2 separate regions of the Mus musculus genome follow, and region 1 is reported to be linked to region 2. Evidence: microRNA targets listed by miRTarBase, many of them from high-throughput screens and not tested one by one. Region 2 holds a microRNA gene; the other region holds the end of a gene's coding sequence.

What was found. The annotated mature microRNA mmu-miR-383-5p reads AGAUCAGAAGGUGACUGUGGCU and lies in region 2 at 2,130-2,151, opposite strand. An mRNA with a match to its seed (bases 2 to 7 or 8) in the 3' UTR can be bound and repressed. Matches are read on the target gene's strand: a 7mer-m8 pairs with bases 2 to 8, a 7mer-A1 pairs with bases 2 to 7 and ends in A, and an 8mer does both.
Region 1: miRTarBase lists Disp2 as a target of mmu-miR-383-5p. Seed matches in the 3' UTR shown: 7mer-A1 at 3,080-3,086 and 7mer-A1 at 2,052-2,058.

What each region holds. Positions count from the first base shown.
Region 1 is chr2:118,792,242-118,796,241 of GRCm38, reverse strand. Disp2 (dispatched RND tramsporter family member 2) reads right to left here. Exons shown (of 8, transcript NM_170593.3): 8 at 1,067-4,000. The coding sequence ends at 3,416. Among named protein-coding and RNA genes, the nearest start is that of Gm38629, 4.5 kb to the left of the region's middle.
Region 2 is chr8:38,250,049-38,254,048 of GRCm38, forward strand. Mir383 (microRNA 383) reads right to left here and starts at 2,154; the gene lies at 2,085-2,154. The region is part of intron 1 of Sgcz (sarcoglycan zeta); the gene reads right to left.

The DNA of each region.
Region 1 (4,000 bases), not on the chromosome of region 2:
ATGCCAACACATGCACCCTTCCCACACTCTGAAGATTGTGAGAGAGGGAAGACGGGAGAGGGGAGAGCATGCTTGCAGATTCTTTGTGGGAGAGCTTCTTGAGGCTTGAGGCAGAGTATCCTGTAGCTGGCTTCAAACCAGCTCTAAGAGGACGGCCTTGAACTCTTGATCCTCTTACCTCCCTTTCCCAAGTTCTGGGATCACTGGCATGCATGACCACACCTAGCTGAAGGAGCAACTTTTCAGGGTCCATGAACTGTAGTCTTCCCACAACACACAGTGGAAAAGCCAAGGTCAACTGCTGAGAAGTTACTGTACTCTCCTCTTGAGTTAAGGTAAAGTTTTGCGGAGTGGGGTGCTGGAGATGGACCACAGTGTCTCCTGTATGCTAACCATGTGGTGTACCACTAAGCTATACCCAGTCTGAGACAGACTGCTTGTGCTAAGGAACTTAAGTCACTTTATCCTCTCAGTGACCCATCTTCCCAGCCCAGCTGTGTGATGGAGAAGCACACAGTACATGGTGTGTTTAAGCCAGGATTCTGTTGAATAGCCACAAGCTGGAAAAGTGGAATGCTATTTGTGTACAACCTGAGGAATGTCCCCCTACTCCCCACTCATTAGGTTTAAATTAGATACTTGTGGCTGCTTAGGCTTCCAAATATCAACAGTTAACTCCTCTCTCTCTCTCTCTCTCTCTCTCTCTCTCTCTCTCTCTCTCTCTCTCTCTCTCTCTCTCTCTCTCTCTCTTTCCCTCCTCTTTTTAGACATGGACTTACTATGTTGTCCAAGCTGTACTTGGTCTTCTGGGCTCAAGCAATCCTCCAGCTTCAGCTTCCCACATAGCTGACACTACAGGTACACGAACGGAGCCCTCCTTGATCAGGAGACATTTATCAAATTAGTTACCTGATAAGGAATTGGCTTACACAGCCCTCTCTGTGGCCTTACCAGCCACACAGACCCAGAATATTCGGTGTGTGTGTGTGTGTGTGTGTGTGTGTGTGTAAACCACACCCAACCTGAATACATTGAAACAGAAAAAAAATAAAAGAAAGAAACAAAAACTCACCACACACATATTATTTTTCTTGTCATTATTACAACAACACGGTGTAAGGACTGACATAGCATTTACATCATATTAGGCATTATAAGTACTCTAGAGACGATTTAAATATAGGAGAATATGCATCATTATATGCAAATACTACACCATTCTACACGAGGGACTTGAGCATCCTCAGATTTTAGTATGCTGGAAGGTGCGGGGTGTGCTGGAACCAGTTCTCCATGGATACTGAGGGAAAACTGTCTTCTGTCTTTCCCACATTCTTATGTTCTCATCTGAGTTTCTGCTCCACTTGTCCTGGGCTACTTGGGGTGGGAGATAGGTCTCAATAACACAGGAACTCAACAAAATAAAACAAAAGTGTCCTCTGGCTTGCCTCTAGCCTTGCCTTAGATTGTTTGGCACTGGAAAACTCCTTTCTGATACTCCTATATAAAATGGCCTAGATTGGTGGTCTTCATGCCAAGATCTATGGATATTCCCAGGGACCTGGAGACCCCTGGAGATCTGCACTAGAAAGGGAAGCTGAGCTAGCAGCACCCCTAAACTCACACCCCTCGGAGCAGGAGTTTTAGACACAGGAGCTTATTGAAAGAACAGTCCTTAGGGGACCCTTGGAGTTGGATCACCAAGCTCCCTCCTGTCTGATCTGCTTGATCTTCTGAAGCCCAGCTCAAACCCATCCCTCTCCACGAGATCTTCCCGGTCACCTATTGCTGGGCACCTGAGCTCGGCAGTAACCCTGACCCACTAATGCCTGCTTCCCAGCAGGAGGCCAGTTCTCCGTTCCATGTCTCTCTCCCTTACAACACCCTTTCCAATGCAGGTGTTCAGTAAACTTGCAGATGGTGCCTGGTGTCTTGAGCTGTGTCACATGAGTGCTTTGGGTGGAGAAAGCTAATGGCCCTGAAGCAGGCAGTTGGTCAGGAGGAGACAGGGAGCCATAGTGGCAGGATGAGTCAGGAGAGCACTCTGCCACTGATCAGTGACACCGTCAAGCAACCTTACTGGGAGGCCTAGTCTTCAGAAACTGAGGACCTGATACCTAGACTTCAGGGTCCTGGACAACTCCACAAGAGCAACTTTGTGTTCTTGTCTTAACTAGATTCTGTTCACATTCTTCTGTCCCTTCGTACCTCTTCTGGCAAAGCCTGTCTGTACTCCTCAGCCATGAAAGAGGCACATCCTTGAAGCCTAAGCTTCAGCTCGGCTGCCTGTGACCCGGTAGGCCCATGGCTAGTAGGCATCTCAGAGAGTTTCAGAGCGGGGAAACTCAAAGGAAATGAGGAACTCTCCGGTCTACTCAGACTACAACTCTTTCTGGAGGTGGAGGCCCCAAGGGGAGGGAGGGCTCACAAAGAGAGGCTCAAGCAAAGAGACTGGGTAACTGCCAGAAGCAAAGGACCAAGACAGCCAGGGGCCCAGGGCCCTGAAGCTCACACTCAGGAGGAGACAGGGAGCTATAGTGGCAGCATGAGTCAGGAGAGAATCCTGCTGCTACCCAGTGACATGACTTTGGGGGACAATCAATCAACCATTCTCAGTGTCTTGACCAACTGCAGGCCACTGTGGAGTAACTTTGCAAAGGTCCAAGAAGACTGGCAGGTGTGGCAATGGTAAGGGGTAACTACTGCTCACTTACAGGGGAACATTCTGGAGTCAGCGTCCTATGGGGGAATCTTGGAATTTAGGGATACTCCAAAGCCGACCTTCCTGTCTCCTGCTTCTCTCTTGTCATCCACCTCTGTCCTGCTTTTGGAGAGCTTCTAGTCACACTGGTGAGTGTGAGCAGAACAGGACAGTGCAGGACAGAGGCCCGTGTTCACTTCCAGCCCAGAGAAGCTTCCCAAGAACTGAAGTGTCCCGATTAAGAGCCAATGAGAAGGGATGAGATTCAATAGGCTGTGGAGGTTCTTAAGGGTTTTTCTAGTCAGTGAGATACTCCAACTGGATCCCAAAGATGGAGTACCTTAGCGTCACTGAACTTCTTGTCACCCGGGAGACAGCTGATCAGCCTCCCCAATACCTGGAACTGCACATCTGGCCTCCCTCCTTTCCAGAGTAGGGGTCCTTGTTGGCACTGTGGGGACAGATGAGTCCTTAGTTGGTCACAGGGAGAGCCTGGTATTACCTTGCAAGGCCCTCCCACTGAATCCTCCAGATGCAGGGGTAAGTAGCAAAGAGATCAAGGCTAGAACATCTGGCAGGGTTTAGAATCCATACTTGGAGGGTAAGACATCATGTCAATAGGGAGAAATACCTTCAGGCTCTAGGCTAGTGTGGCATCTGCCTTATCTTCACCAACAGGGTTGTGGACCCTGGTCTGGCCTTCCTTGGCCTCTCTCAGCTGCTGTAGCCAGAGGTGTAGGTGCTGGGCCTACGGAGCCAAACATCTGGGAGATCTGGCTGACTGTTGGGAAGCATCACAGGGCTGATATCGCCTGGCCCTCCACGGCCCTTCCAGGATAAGCTGCTGTGGTGAGAATTGGGCATGTTTGGGTCATAGATGGTCTCCTTCAGTGCTAGCCAGAGGGTGTCGCGCTTCCCATTCAGCTGGCCCCGCTCAAGTATGGGGTGTCCAGTGCCATTCATGACTTCTGGGGAGGTACCCACAGAATCTGGCACACGGACACTATGCTCAGAGGCACAGGTGTCATCTGAGACGCTGAGTCCCTCCAGGGTGCTGGCTGAGGAGCACAGGCCATCGGGGAGCTCTTCCACTTTGGACTTAGGGCAGTGGGCAGGGCCTTCTGGCAGTGCCTGCAGGGGCTCAGTTTTCTGTCCCTGGGAATCTTGCCTGATCCAGGTTTGGGGGGTGGGGCCAGCCTGCTTATATGGAGAGGAGGTCTGCAGGGCTGGACACTGGCTGAAGACTGTCTGGTGGTCTAGGAGCAGATCCCTTGGGGAGACAGGGGCTTGGGCATGCTG
Region 2 (4,000 bases):
CTCAAAAGGTAATGATTTAAAAACTTCAAAAGAATAAACTAGATGGTTGTGGCAATACATGCCTTTAACATCAGCACTCAGAATTCAGAAGCTTCTAGTTTGCTATAAGCTTGTAGGTTAGTCAGTCAGTTGCACCCAGTAAATTCTAGTAAAACCTAAGCAAGAGAGTGTGAACCTTTCTCAAAAAGTACTTTTAAAAATTAAGTAAAAATCATACAAATTGATGGATTTATCATTAATAAAATGTAAATTTTCAGAAAAATGTATGCATAGATTCTAACCAATGAGATGTGCCCGTTCATGAACCTCATGCATGATCCTAACACGCAACTTCAAGGATTGGTCCCATAATAGTAAGGATAAGTGGAAATCTCAGACAATAGAGTCTGCAACACAGAATTCCTTGTATGTGAATATATAAAAATGAAATGTAACCCAAATTGTCACAATAGAAAATAAATCTCAGCTTGAAGTTAGAAACGTTTGGGCTTTAGAGGAAACCCTTTCTTAGGACTTGGTAGAGAAATCAAATTGCAGGTTTTCTCCAATTTCTTGACTCTTCTTTTCTTCTTAGAATGAAGCTGGTTTCTGTACAAGATAATAGGTTGTAGTAAAGGAAAACCATTGATGACAGAGTTCTCTAAAATACACAAAAGATCAGGAAAGATTATCAGATCTATTTTTAATCCTTTTTCCTCTCTCATTAGATAATACAGTTTAGCAAACTAGATGTGTTGCCCTTAATCAAACACAATGTTTCTGCTCCCGAATCTTTCCTGATCAAACTTTTAAAAGAGACTATATATTAATAATTCTCTTGAATTTAAAAAGTGTATCTACAGAATAGTTCTCAGATTGCTACAAATTAATTTATCTAAATATTTGAAAGATAATCAGGATCATCAAACTAGTCATCATCAAACCAGAGAATCTTTTGTGGAGAAGAGACATTGCAGCAAGACTTAAAAATGATTTTTCCATTCTTGGCTTTCATGTTGATGAATTGTAAATAGCTGATACAAAATATCCAAAGTCATTTTCCATTAATGTACACCTACAAGAGAGTTTGACTTTCTAAATATTAACACAATCTTCAACTGTTACTTAAGGGGAGAAATGGTTTATCATGTTGGCTGAAAATCAAATGCAATCAAAATTAAAACTTCAACCAAAGTTGCTGTTAGGCCCATAGTCCTGTAGAAATACCTTGCCAACCATTGCCTGCAAACGTTCATGGTTTAGTTATGTTTCATCTCAGCTCAACATATTATTGACTTTTTTCTTCATACCAGATGCCTCTAGTCTTCCCTTCAAACATCTTGTCTTTTCATTTTTGTTCATATTTAATTTTTGGCAATCGCTGCCTGTTTAATTACACTAAGTTGGAGCAGGTCCAAATTTAGGAAAAAATTACAAAATACAAAATTTTCCTTTGGCTCACCTCCCACCTCTACTCCTTTACCAAGTAATTGCTTTTCTCTCCAGCAAAGACTTTCCTAGAGAGCTTCAGTATTATTCTCAGGTTTTCCTGAGCTTAAAAACCTGCTGAACTGATTGCTTCTGAGAATATTGATTAATACACATCTGGGCTTTCACTTTATCAACAGTAAGAACCACTGTTAGAACAGCGGGTTTGTGTTATTTGGCATGGCAACCATGCTTCCTACCATAACCCTGCTCTACTTCTGAAAGTGAAAAAAAAAATTGTCTTCCAGTACATTTTTTTGTCACCTTGAATGAAGACCATGCTCATGTTTAATGCAAATACATGAATAGCATGCATGCTAGATAATACATGAAACTTACAGTTTAATTTTCTTGTGGATTTCTAATTCCCAATCATAACCACAAGTTATTTTCCCTTTACAGCCTAAAATGTTAAAGAACAGAGAAGGAGTAACAAAGACACTCATAATCAAACCTTTGGTTTCTGTGAAAAAAGAGAAGCTTCCAGACATGGGTTGAACGTTCCATTCATCTCACCTGAGGCATGCTGGCCATTCCAGTCCAACACACGCAGTTCCCTTTGTACCTACGTTGGATGGACCCACAAGGTGTCATGAGGTAAAAGGCTAGGACACTTGCTCTTTCTGACCAGGCAGTGCTGTGGCTGATTAATATCCACCCAAAGCCACAGTCACCTTCTGATCTGAGGAGCAGGTGACGTGGAGTTTCTGGAGGCTCTTGATAAATTATGTAAGCATAACAAACAACACAGGTTACAAAAAAAAGTATCAGTCACTGAAGTGGTCGACGTCATTCTTTTAAAAGCTAAAGCTAAATGGCTCTTCATCCATCACAGGCAGTACTTATCTCAAGGACATTAAACAATTAATTATCACATGGGCAGTGCATAAAAGCTTATATTCTTTCCCAGAAAATTGTTTATGAAAGGAGAGAGGAAGGGACAAAAACATGAGCAAATTCCAATTACAGACAAAGTTTTCTCTTTTTTCCATTATTTTTCCAGTTATACCAAACTGATTCATTAATATGAACCAATAACTTTGTTGCAGTGCAAAAAAGGTTTAACCAAACCCCTCCTTCCTCCTTGACAGTACAAAGCACACCAACTTCCAAGCATTTCCATTTTAGGCTGAAGGTTGTCTGACCCACGGCCTTGTAGTTTGTTACCACAGATATTCTATATGATCTTTTTGACTTTATATTATCTACCTATATTTACAGAAGTGACTCTCACAGAATCATGAAAATGCAAGTGAATTACATTAATGTCACCTTGCTCTTTGTATATATCTTTTCCCCACCATTGCTCAAGTAATTAATGAAACCACAGATATTGTTCCTTCAACACATGAGTTTTAATAAACAGGTAATATTTATAAATTTATTTGAAAAATAGTTTCTCATAACACTCCATTTAAAATAAGAAAACTTCATGTAAATGCATATTACAGAATATAAGTTAACACATAGAAATTTGTTATTTTTATTTACTTAAGTCATCTATTTTTCACCCAGAATAGAAAGCATCAAAAATATAAAGATATGAATAATTATTTTGTACTACACAAAAATAGAAACTACACAATTTAAGGTACTTCTAATATAGATACATAAAATGCAGCACTTTATTTTTTTTTTTAAGACCAAGAAATTATTTTCCCTTATTCTTAAATATTCCTTCTGGATATGATCCTGTTAAATAGAAAATATCTTAAACATGTAAAAGTTTCTATGTTAGCAAAAGTTAAAAGACCAAGAAAGAATTGTTAGTTACTGTGATTCTTAGGGTATTATTATTATTATTATTATTATTATTATTATTATTTTGGGAATACTGGCAAAAATTTTGTTTGCTATATAATTTTTATTTGTTTTGTAATATTTTAAATTTTTTCTATACTAGTTTTCTTTCTGTAGCCCTGGTTACCCTGGAGCTGGATCTGTGGATCAGGCTTGCCTCAAAGTCACAGATATGGCCTCTTTCTAATATCCTGGGATTAAGGGTGTAGGCCAGCACCTGCGTAATACATGTTTAATTGAAATGGAAGATATCATGTAATCCATTATATAAACAAACTCAAAGACAAAAACCACATGATCATCTCGTTAGATGCAGAAAAAGCATTTGACAAGATCCAACACCCATTCATGATAAAAGTTTTGGAAAGATCAGGAATTCAAGGCCCATACCTAAACATGATAAAAGCAATCTACAGCAAACCAGTAGCCAACATCAAAGTAAATGGAGAGAAGCTGGAAGCAATCCCACTAAAATCAGGGACTAGACAAGGCTGCCCACTTTCTCCCTACCTTTTCAACATAGTACTTGAAGTATTAGCCAGAGCAATTCGACAACAAAAGGAGATCAAGGGGATACAAATTGGAAAAGAGGAAGTCAAAATATCACTTTTTGCAGATGATATGATAGTATATATAAGTGACCCTAAAAATTCTACCAGAGAACTCCTAAACCTGATAAACAGCTTCGGTGAAGTAGCTGGATATAAAATAAACTCAAACAAGTCAATGGCCT